2 linked regions of the Xenopus tropicalis genome follow. The protein of the gene in region 2 purifies or fractionates together with the protein of the main gene of each other region. This does not show direct contact. Links are inferred from orthologs where the notes say so. Each region holds a gene or a part of one and is shown on either strand. Other genes may lie near its edges. The genes, in order: fgfr2 and rps6ka3.

Evidence for each region.
Region 1: the proteins of rps6ka3 (region 2) and fgfr2 purify together in Homo sapiens (affinity purification with mass spectrometry; 3 studies listed by BioGRID and IntAct, counting the BioPlex papers as one, with this or other methods). This does not show direct contact. The link is inferred for Xenopus tropicalis from reciprocal best matches to the Homo sapiens genes RPS6KA3 and FGFR2.

What each region holds. Positions count from the first base shown.
Region 1 is NC_030683.2:19,258,127-19,262,651, reverse strand, and holds the start of fgfr2 (fibroblast growth factor receptor 2 precursor), read right to left. Parts: upstream 3,040-4,525; 5' UTR 2,654-3,039; intron 1-2,653. UniProt on the Homo sapiens protein: Tyrosine-protein kinase that acts as a cell-surface receptor for fibroblast growth factors and plays an essential role in the regulation of cell proliferation, differentiation, migration and apoptosis, and in the regulation of embryonic development.
Region 2 is NC_030678.2:43,846,422-43,850,849, forward strand, and holds the start of rps6ka3 (ribosomal protein S6 kinase alpha-3), read right to left. Parts: upstream 3,061-4,428; 5' UTR 2,743-3,060; coding exon 2,680-2,742; intron 1-2,679. UniProt on the Homo sapiens protein: Serine/threonine-protein kinase that acts downstream of ERK (MAPK1/ERK2 and MAPK3/ERK1) signaling and mediates mitogenic and stress-induced activation of the transcription factors CREB1, ETV1/ER81 and NR4A1/NUR77, regulates translation through RPS6 and EIF4B phosphorylation, and mediates cellular proliferation, survival, and differentiation by modulating mTOR signaling and repressing pro-apoptotic function of BAD and DAPK1.

The sequences.
Region 1 (4,525 bases), on a different chromosome or scaffold from region 2:
AGGCACAGTGCTGGCGCTCTTATTTGTGCATTTAAATCCCATATAGAATTTCTCATTTCTTTCCAAGAAGTTTTTGGCTTCCTCCCCCAGCACTCCACCATAGATTTCTATTATCTAAAGGTTTGGCCAAGATCAGAAAATAGCCCTAATCTGCATTTTAATTGAGATTCCACAGAAGGGGAGACCGTGCCTCAATCCCTACTTATCAAGGGGCTTTAGTGCAACCCCCATTAAACCCGCACAATGAGCGGGGGCACCATGTACACTCTCATATAAAGCCAAGGAATTCAGCCTCCCTCTTGGCCACGGATTCCCCCATTGTATGCACCCCAGATTCCAGCACACAATGTACATTTAATGAGGGCTCCACAATGCACTTTTTCACACTTAACACATCCAGTACGGAGATTTGTAAAAGGGTTGTTATCTTTTTAGACCAAGCTCCGACACCAAGGTACAATGGAGCTTCACAACAAAATGCAAACACCAACGCACAGTCCCAAGAGCAGTTGGCACACAGGGATTTTACATGCAGCCCCTGGAACCTTTACATTATAGATGGATTTTTTCCCCCTTTACAAACAGCCTTCAAGTCAGTTCCTTGATTAACACCAGATACCACGCTGACTGGGTTAGGAATTCACGGCCGGTGGGACAAAGGAATGTTTTGCAAGGATTTTTTTTATAATGATAAAGAAAACCTGAATTTTCCAAAATGTGAAGCTTTTGTTGGGCTGCGTTCAGGGGCCTGTAATGCGTCTGTGGCTTTGCCCGCTGTGTGGGTGCTAAACACCTAACAGGCCTCTCTCACGGGTAGAATCCTAGCCCCTTTCTTCCTTGCCCGATGCAGACTATAAACCTGTCATTAATGGATCGGCAGTTCGTTTAACCTGTAGGAAGCACCCCCCCCAACCCTGATGTTGCCGAGTTTTGCGTAGAAAATAAAGGAGGACAAATAAAGAGAATTAAAAGCCGAAGGGGCTGCTGTGGGGCAGGCAATATTAGGCTCAGCAGGAGGAGAACATGTAAAATATTCATGCAAATATCCAAAATATGAGGACCTGGGGGTGCATTATTGCCCCCAGGACATTTTACATAAAACAGTCTTTACAAGATAGCGTTAGTACATGAATGCAAACACAGACATAGCGAGGGTACATACACACTACTACTCAGACTGTCCGTGCCCCTTGTACTGGGCCCCTCGAGCATCTTAGCACCTAAACAGTCCTGTCAAACCCTAGGGCAAAGGCACGCAATGGATCCTGCATTGGTTCCATGACCCTTTACTTGTCCAGCCCTACGTATGTACACAGTGGAAATGTAAATGTGGCTTGTGGCTCTGCTCTATGCATATACATAGCAACCGGTCCATCAGACCCGGTGGGTTCCAGCATTCGTGCCCATTGTGATACATAACTGTACAAAGAAAGACCCTATTGTTTAGCGAGCATTTAGGAGCAATCAGGAGTCGCACTCCCCTACTGCACAAGGGGTACCCACGGGTATAACATTGTAACCTGTAAAAGCAAATCCACATTCTGCAATGTTGTTTGTCCAGCCTGCAGCCCTCCAGCTGATCTGGAACTCCCAGAATTCCCCAGTAAGCTATAAGCATCAGATAATAGTGAGAGTGGCATTTAGACTGTCTGGTCATGACCAAGGGCCTATGTTTATATGTTACATTCATAAACCTACTTGGGGCAAAGCATGCTTTGTTGCATACCATAATGCAGGCCGCAGTGGCCCTCCATATTATTCACATTTATTTATAAAGCGCCAACATATTCCGCAGCGCTGAACAATAAGTGGGTTCCATACATTGGACATACAGAGTAACATATAAAGCAATCAATAACCGATACAGGAGGTGAAGAGAGCCCTGCCCAAAAGAGCTTACAATCTACAAGGAGAAAGGGTTGAGACACAAGGTGTTGTTCAACTGCAACAGGCTTTGGGCAGTCAAAAGCCGCTCACTTGTAGGCTGCCCAATGGCTGACCATTATCACCCAAGTTTGACCATTAATTACCAGCTTTTCTTAGTTTGGGAAATATGATTGCTTTGATCCCATTTGTCTATAACAATTATAATAACACATAGACATAGCGCCTTCTACAACAACTTTCCAACATCAATCCTGGGAGCTACCACACAGCTTGCATGGCAGGGGTAAAATTAAATATTATCCACTCACTCCAATAATATAGCGCCTCATAGTGGCCAAACATGCCAGAAAGCTTTAATATTTAAACCCAATTTCTTGTAGGCACTTGAGTACCATTCACTTCAGCAATAAATACAAGCTGGGCAAAAGTCCATGTTTTTCAAAATTCATAACGATCTAAAGCTGTTTTAAATGTTCTAAAACACCAACCCACATTATCATGCATTGCTCCCATAAATAAAGACCATAAAGTAAAATATGCAACAAACATCACCCTGCAGCGGTTTTGTGCGGCAAAGCGAATTTAACGCATTGCGCTTCCAATTACGCACAGCGATTTCCTCATTACCTGATTAAAGCAAGGAGTTTTAGACAAGTTTAACCAATGACATGACACAGGTATATCCCCTGTGGGGGTCTGTACCCCAGTTCTATTAGGCTGAGAAGCCCCTCCTAGAGTTACAACGTTGCGGGTTTGTTGGCATTACCTGGAGAGATGGCGGTGTAAGAAAATCCCCTCAGCCCTGCATCAGGCGTGTGCCTGGCAAGACTCCGTGTGTCCCAGGGGACAGATTCCCAAGTCCCGTTTCAGCCAATGAGAAATACGTATCCCTCCGAGCGCAGGGTGAGCGAGTCCCGATCCCGACTCAGAGCCCGGTAACCAGCAGCAGCCAAAGCCAGTGAGGTTCCAAAGAGGGGAACAGGCAGAATCCCCTTTGCAGGGTGAATGAGTAAGTTCTCTGTGATTTCTTTTCTCTCTGAGTGAATCACCAATCCCCTGATAGTCCCACAGTGATGAATCCCGCAAGGTTCAGTGCATAGGAATCCCGGTAAGTGCTATCCAGGCAAGCCAAGCCCTTCCAGGCAGCAGTGCAGCCACAAACAATAAGGTAATAGGTAGGGAAAGTTCCCAAAAGTGGATGTGTGAGAGGTGCAACCCAGTGTAGATCCCGTGTGTGAGGGGCAATGGAAAGTCTGTGTGACTTTTCCCTCCCTCCCCCTCACTCCTCATCCTCACTCCCAGCCCCTTCCTCCTCCCTGAGTCACTCCCCTCTGTCTGGAACCTGAGCCTTCATCCCTCCCTTCATCCAATGCTGGAGCAGCTCCTCTCCCCTGGCCCAGTCTCCCTTCCCCAAGCCCTGCTGGCCCTCCCCCTGTGCCTGCCCCACACTTTGGCATACATCACTGCACAGACTGGGGAAGGTTTGTTTGTATTGGAATTACTATGCTATGTGCGCTCTCTTTCTCTCCCATTTTCCATCTCCTTCTCCTAATATTTATCTTCTCTTCATACCCCCCTCATCATTAAACAAACAAAAAAAAAATTAAGATCACCGGTGAGGTCACAGTATTTTAGTGATGTCATACTGTGTACTTGCATCGCCATTGGGCAATAGGGTTGGCAATGTTAACAAGAGAAAAATAATCTTCTACTGCCTAATTATAAATATATTATAAGTAATATTTTTATGGCGCTACTAATTATATTCAGCTATACAAAGTAGAAAATAAACCTCTGTGCCAAAGAGCTTACAATCCTGTAACTGTCACTGCTATAGGGAGGCTGGAAGGTTCTATAGGTTCTACTGAATAGGTGATTGGTAAAAAGTGCTTTGAAAGGGTACAGATTGCAGCACTCAGGCTCAGACTGGCAATCTGTGGATTCTGCAAATGCCAGCTATATAAAGTAAGCCTCTGTACCAAAGAACTTACAATCTAAAATCCTGTCACTGTCGAAGGGAGGCTGGAAAGTTCTGCTGTATAGATGATTAGTGTCTTGAAAAGGTACAAATAGGGACACTCGGGCCCCGACTGGCAATCTGTGGGTCCTGGCAAATGCCAGCTATATAAAGTAAGAGTAAGCCTCTGCACCAAAGAACTTACAATCTAAAATACAGTCATTGTCAAAGGAAGGCTGGAAAGTTCTACTGTACAGATAATTTGTGTCTTGAAAGGGTACAAATATGTGTGTATGTATGTATATCTTTATTTATAAAACGCTACTTATGTACGCAGCGCTGTACAGTAGAATAGATTAATACAAACAGGGTGTTAATAAGATAATAGATAAATACAAAGTATAATAATAAATACAGATAAATACAGCAGCAATAAGTTGAGAGTCGAGGATACAAGAGGAAGGAGGTCCCTGCCCCGTAGAGCTTACAATCTATATAAATAGTGACACTCAGGCCCGGACTGGCAATCTGTGGGTTCTGGCAAATGCCAGAGGGGCTGCTGTAAGATGCCATAGACACTCACTATTTATTGGGCTAGTGGGGGGCTGTTTGGGCTTCTCTGTACATGAAATACCAGGGCCTATTTTGACTCCCAGACACTGTCCCTTACATAGTGGGGGT
Region 2 (4,428 bases):
CATCAAAAAAGTAGTATGAAGATCCCTGGATGCTCTCCATCCTTTCCAGCAAACTCATCAACGCCCACGGATGATGTAGCAACATCCAAGCGGCTGAGAAGCAGCTGACAAATAATATGATCATACATCCCAGAGAACTGTATTCAACAATGTATACGTGGAGAGTGATAAACACTGGTAATCTATATTGTGCCACTTTAAAATAAAAAAGAAAACGTGTTTAAGATATACAAAATAAAAATATAGCATACTGAAAGCCCCTTTGCTTAGAAATGCTGCCTCCTCCATCCCAGAATTCCCTATTTGGTGGCAAATACATTCAGCAATGGTCATCAGGTTACAGAGGAATAAGGAGAAAAACGTCAGAGAAAGGTCAGGAATAGAATATTTTGTTGGCTCAGTAAAAGAATGAGAACAGCAATAGAAAAAAAGAGAAATTTGCGTGCATACACATAAGTAATTAGTTAGCAATATATTGTTCAATGGAATCTGCATTGTGAATTGTAAATATTATATATATAAAAAAAATATTTGCATATTTACATTTGAGACCCCCAACCCAGAGTGCATATAAAATATAGAAAGCTTTCCAGAAAATCACAGTAATTTTACTGACCAAACCAGCTCTGTAGCTTTCAAAAGTGACTGCAGAGACAACTAAGAAGAGAGCAAAGATTGATGCACAGGAAGAGGCAAGAGACAGTTTATTTAGGGACTTCCTGTACACCCAAGAACACACAAATACTAGAAGTGCTTCAGCTTCCCACCAGTTACTAAAAGATGATTTCCTAGGTTCCGCTAGAGGTGGCGTGGGCTATGCAGCAATACCAATAATCTGAGTCTTTAGTGTGCATTACCCCTTTAGGTGGTTTTTGAGAAATATGTTTGTGTTTACTAGAAATGATACACACTATATTTATAAATACAGGTGCAAAGATACAATGTATTCTGTTCCATTTCCTTTGTTTTGGATATAAAACAGATGAGCATACAGCTTAAGCTGCTGATGTACAAGATTTCAAATGTTAAACATATAAATTATAAAGCCAGGTTCTATATATCAAACACACTACCCAAACAGGAACAACTGATCCCAAATGAACCGATATGTGTGTGTAATTAAACTGTAAGGCAGACGTATGCGCCATGCCTTAAATTGGAGGTTTTATAAAGACAATGAGTATTAAACTTGCCAAATTATCTTGGAACGCTTCCTGTCAAATTACTGAACGGCATTGGCTGCCAGCACTTTGTCACATCGTCACTCCTTTCCTAGCCCTCAATTAGTCATTCAACCTTGAATCTCTAAAATCTCCTTTACCTGCAGCGCAGTACCTTTGCTCTGCTCACTTGCACACTATCAGGCACTGCCCTGTGTGCTTTCCTTCATTTCACTTCTAGTCCCTGCAGTATAAAGTGAAAGACACCTCCCTTCGTCCTTCTATATTTACAACAGAGCTTATGTCTTAATTGCCCACATCTGCACATTACAAAACCTACAAATGCCAGTCTCTTGCAGCCTCTTATCTACAGAAACATTCCTGTTGCAAGGCATAAATACGTGCACTAGCACAATTTTTTTTATTTGGTCTAACTGCCCTTTAGTGAATGGCACAAAATAAACCCCACTTGGTCTATCACTAACTATAAAAGGTAGGGGTGGGTTTCCAAAGGCAGGGGAGACAAGTACAGACCTGTACATGGCTACATTCTGCCATTTGCTGCCAGTTTTCTACCAGTTCTTTCAGCCATTATGAATAATGTGGAGAATTATTTAGAGGGTTAATGAGATTCTATTAATAGAATGTAAACATTCCGAGAAAGGGCTGGAATTCTAGGGTCATATACATGCAATTTGTTATCCAATAACCAATTTAGCTATAACGTACATTACTAATTCTATGGCTTCACACAATATTATAGGAGGCTGAACTCTTACTTAATAAGAAATAGACAAAAACACATAAAAGAAAAGAACTAAAAATATAAATGCGTCTTAAATCCACTACCTCCAGGTCCTTAAAGGGCAACCCCACCCAAAAGTAACTTTCCATTCTACATTAAACATTTTCAGTGGCTTTATAGACATCTCTTAATGTTATCAGTTTCTGACTGTTGAAACAATGTAGCAGGTCAACTCTCCAGGTTTGTTAAGGAGCTGGAGTCAGAACCAGAAAGGCAAAGGATTCCGTTTTCAATAGCAATTATGCTTGAAAATAACTTTTAACTAAAACGTTTAATGTATATTAGTTAGTTGTTCAGAATAGCATTTTCTATTATTATGCAAAAAAAAAACATTTTCAGCGTGGAGTTCCCCTGTAACTCAATTGCTACTTGGCATTCCCCACCAAGAGCTGTCAGTGAGTGCTGCAAGATGGAAAGAGTTAAACAGCCCAGAGATAGTTATGTTCTGGCACTCCCGCTATTGTGTTACTACTACTCCCAGCATCCTCTCAGAAACGCAGCTGGTAAGAAACGGAGCTGCTAAAAGTTGAAGCTGGAGTGCCAGGGAGTCTGTACTACTGCCCGAACTAGATAGCCCGAAGCACTCACACTTTCATACTCATTCGGGATGGAAAGAGATAAGTGCCGATCAGGCGGAACCCTTCCCTGTGAAAGGACTGTGTCCCCTTCTCTCTCTGGCCGAGATACCCGCACCTTCCATTATTTGTATCTTACCTCGCTTCCCACTTTCTGCACCGGCACTTTCTGCCACGGGTCTGCCAGCTGCGCCAGCGGCATCTTTTCAACCCGATGTGATTCCAGCAATTGTCCCCAAAAATCACCAAAGTGACCGAGCTCCAGTCCGCCCCCCTAGAGTCACCGTGAGCTGTCCGGTACTGCGCGGCAAGCCAGAACCACTCCAGCACAGCTCTTCTCCCTTCTCTCACTCACACAGATCTTTACTTCCTCTCACAACATGGCGTCCCCAGCGGTACCTGCCGCTCGCAGCAAGGCACGGTGCGCGTCACCCCTACGTCACATGCAGTGGGCGGCCTTCCCCTCCCTTCAGTTCGGAGTACAGGTGACAGTCGGGGGAAGAGGATTCTGGGTAAAATTGCGTCATAGGCGGAATGCCTGCCCTCCCATGTTAGATGAGTCTCCGGTTACGCAAATGAATAAGGTTTCAGCTAGACGCTGTGTCGTGGTTGTGTGTGGGTATATGTGTGGGTATATGGGTGGGTATATGGGTGGGTGAGCCCCGGTTCCCAGCCTTGACTTCCGTTCTTGTATACAGATTCATGCCTTTTTACACTCCTTCGATAAAGAAAGATTTGGCCAGTGTTTGTAGCTCATGTAAGCTTTGCTCATGCCTTCAGTGGATGTAAGGGAAATGCAGTGCTTATTCTATAAATGTAATATCTCCGGTCTCTCTCTCTCTCTGTGAGTGACAGCTTTCTTTCTCTCGCAGGATGTCTCTCCGGCAGTCTGTACCTTGCGCAATTTGTGCGTGTTATCTCTTACATAGGGGCATATTTACAGAGGTTGGCATATTGTTACCGAAAATAAAAATTTGCCACAACGTTGGCAATTTACTATAAAGGATTATAATTGTTTGTGAATCGAAACAAAACATTAACCTCATTTCGCCAAGGTAAAAATTTTTCTAGTGTGAAATATTTGCCAATTTATGAATAGCGCAGGAACGAATGCTAGCCAAGAGAAATGGCTCCAGGTTTAGGCTAGCAAACTTCCATTATAATGACACCTTGGCCACTTTGCATCTCATTTTCTATGTTATCTCTTCCATGCTAATATCCCACATGTCATTTATTCTCTAGCAAATTTTAACCACTAGAATTGTACAGGGAAAATACAATGCTTTAAAAGAGTACTTATGCCAAAAGAAAATTTGTACTTATGATTTTTTAGTAAATATGAGATGTTTTGTGAAAATATGCCACACTTGAGCAAGGGGGATCCCCAACCAATATGTTGCGCATCAACTTTTTATTGTTGCTCCTGACTTGGGGGCAAGATTTGGTTGAATAAAAACAAGATTTACTACCAAATAAAGCTTCCTGTAAGCTGATAGTGTGCATAGAGGCTGCCTAATAGCCAATCTTAGCCCTTCTTTGGCACCTACATGAACTTTTATGGTGCTTGTGTTGCTCCCCAAGTCTTTTTACATTTGACTGTGACTCATATGTAAGAAAGTTTAGGGACCCCTGCCAGCGTTGGTAGTTAGGAGAGGGTCCTATGACGTGATGCTTGCAGTTTCCAGTAACAAATAATTACCTGCTTAAAGGGGAAGGAAAGGCTAAGTCACTTGGGGGTGCGAAAATGTTAGGCACCTCCAAGTGACTTAGATCTCTTACCTCGTACCCTGGGCTGGTGCCCCTGTTAGGAGAAAAAAGCACCAGCCCAGGGTATCTGTAGGAAGCGCTTCCTCCTTCCTTTATCTTCTGCCGGCGAAATCCGTCGGCC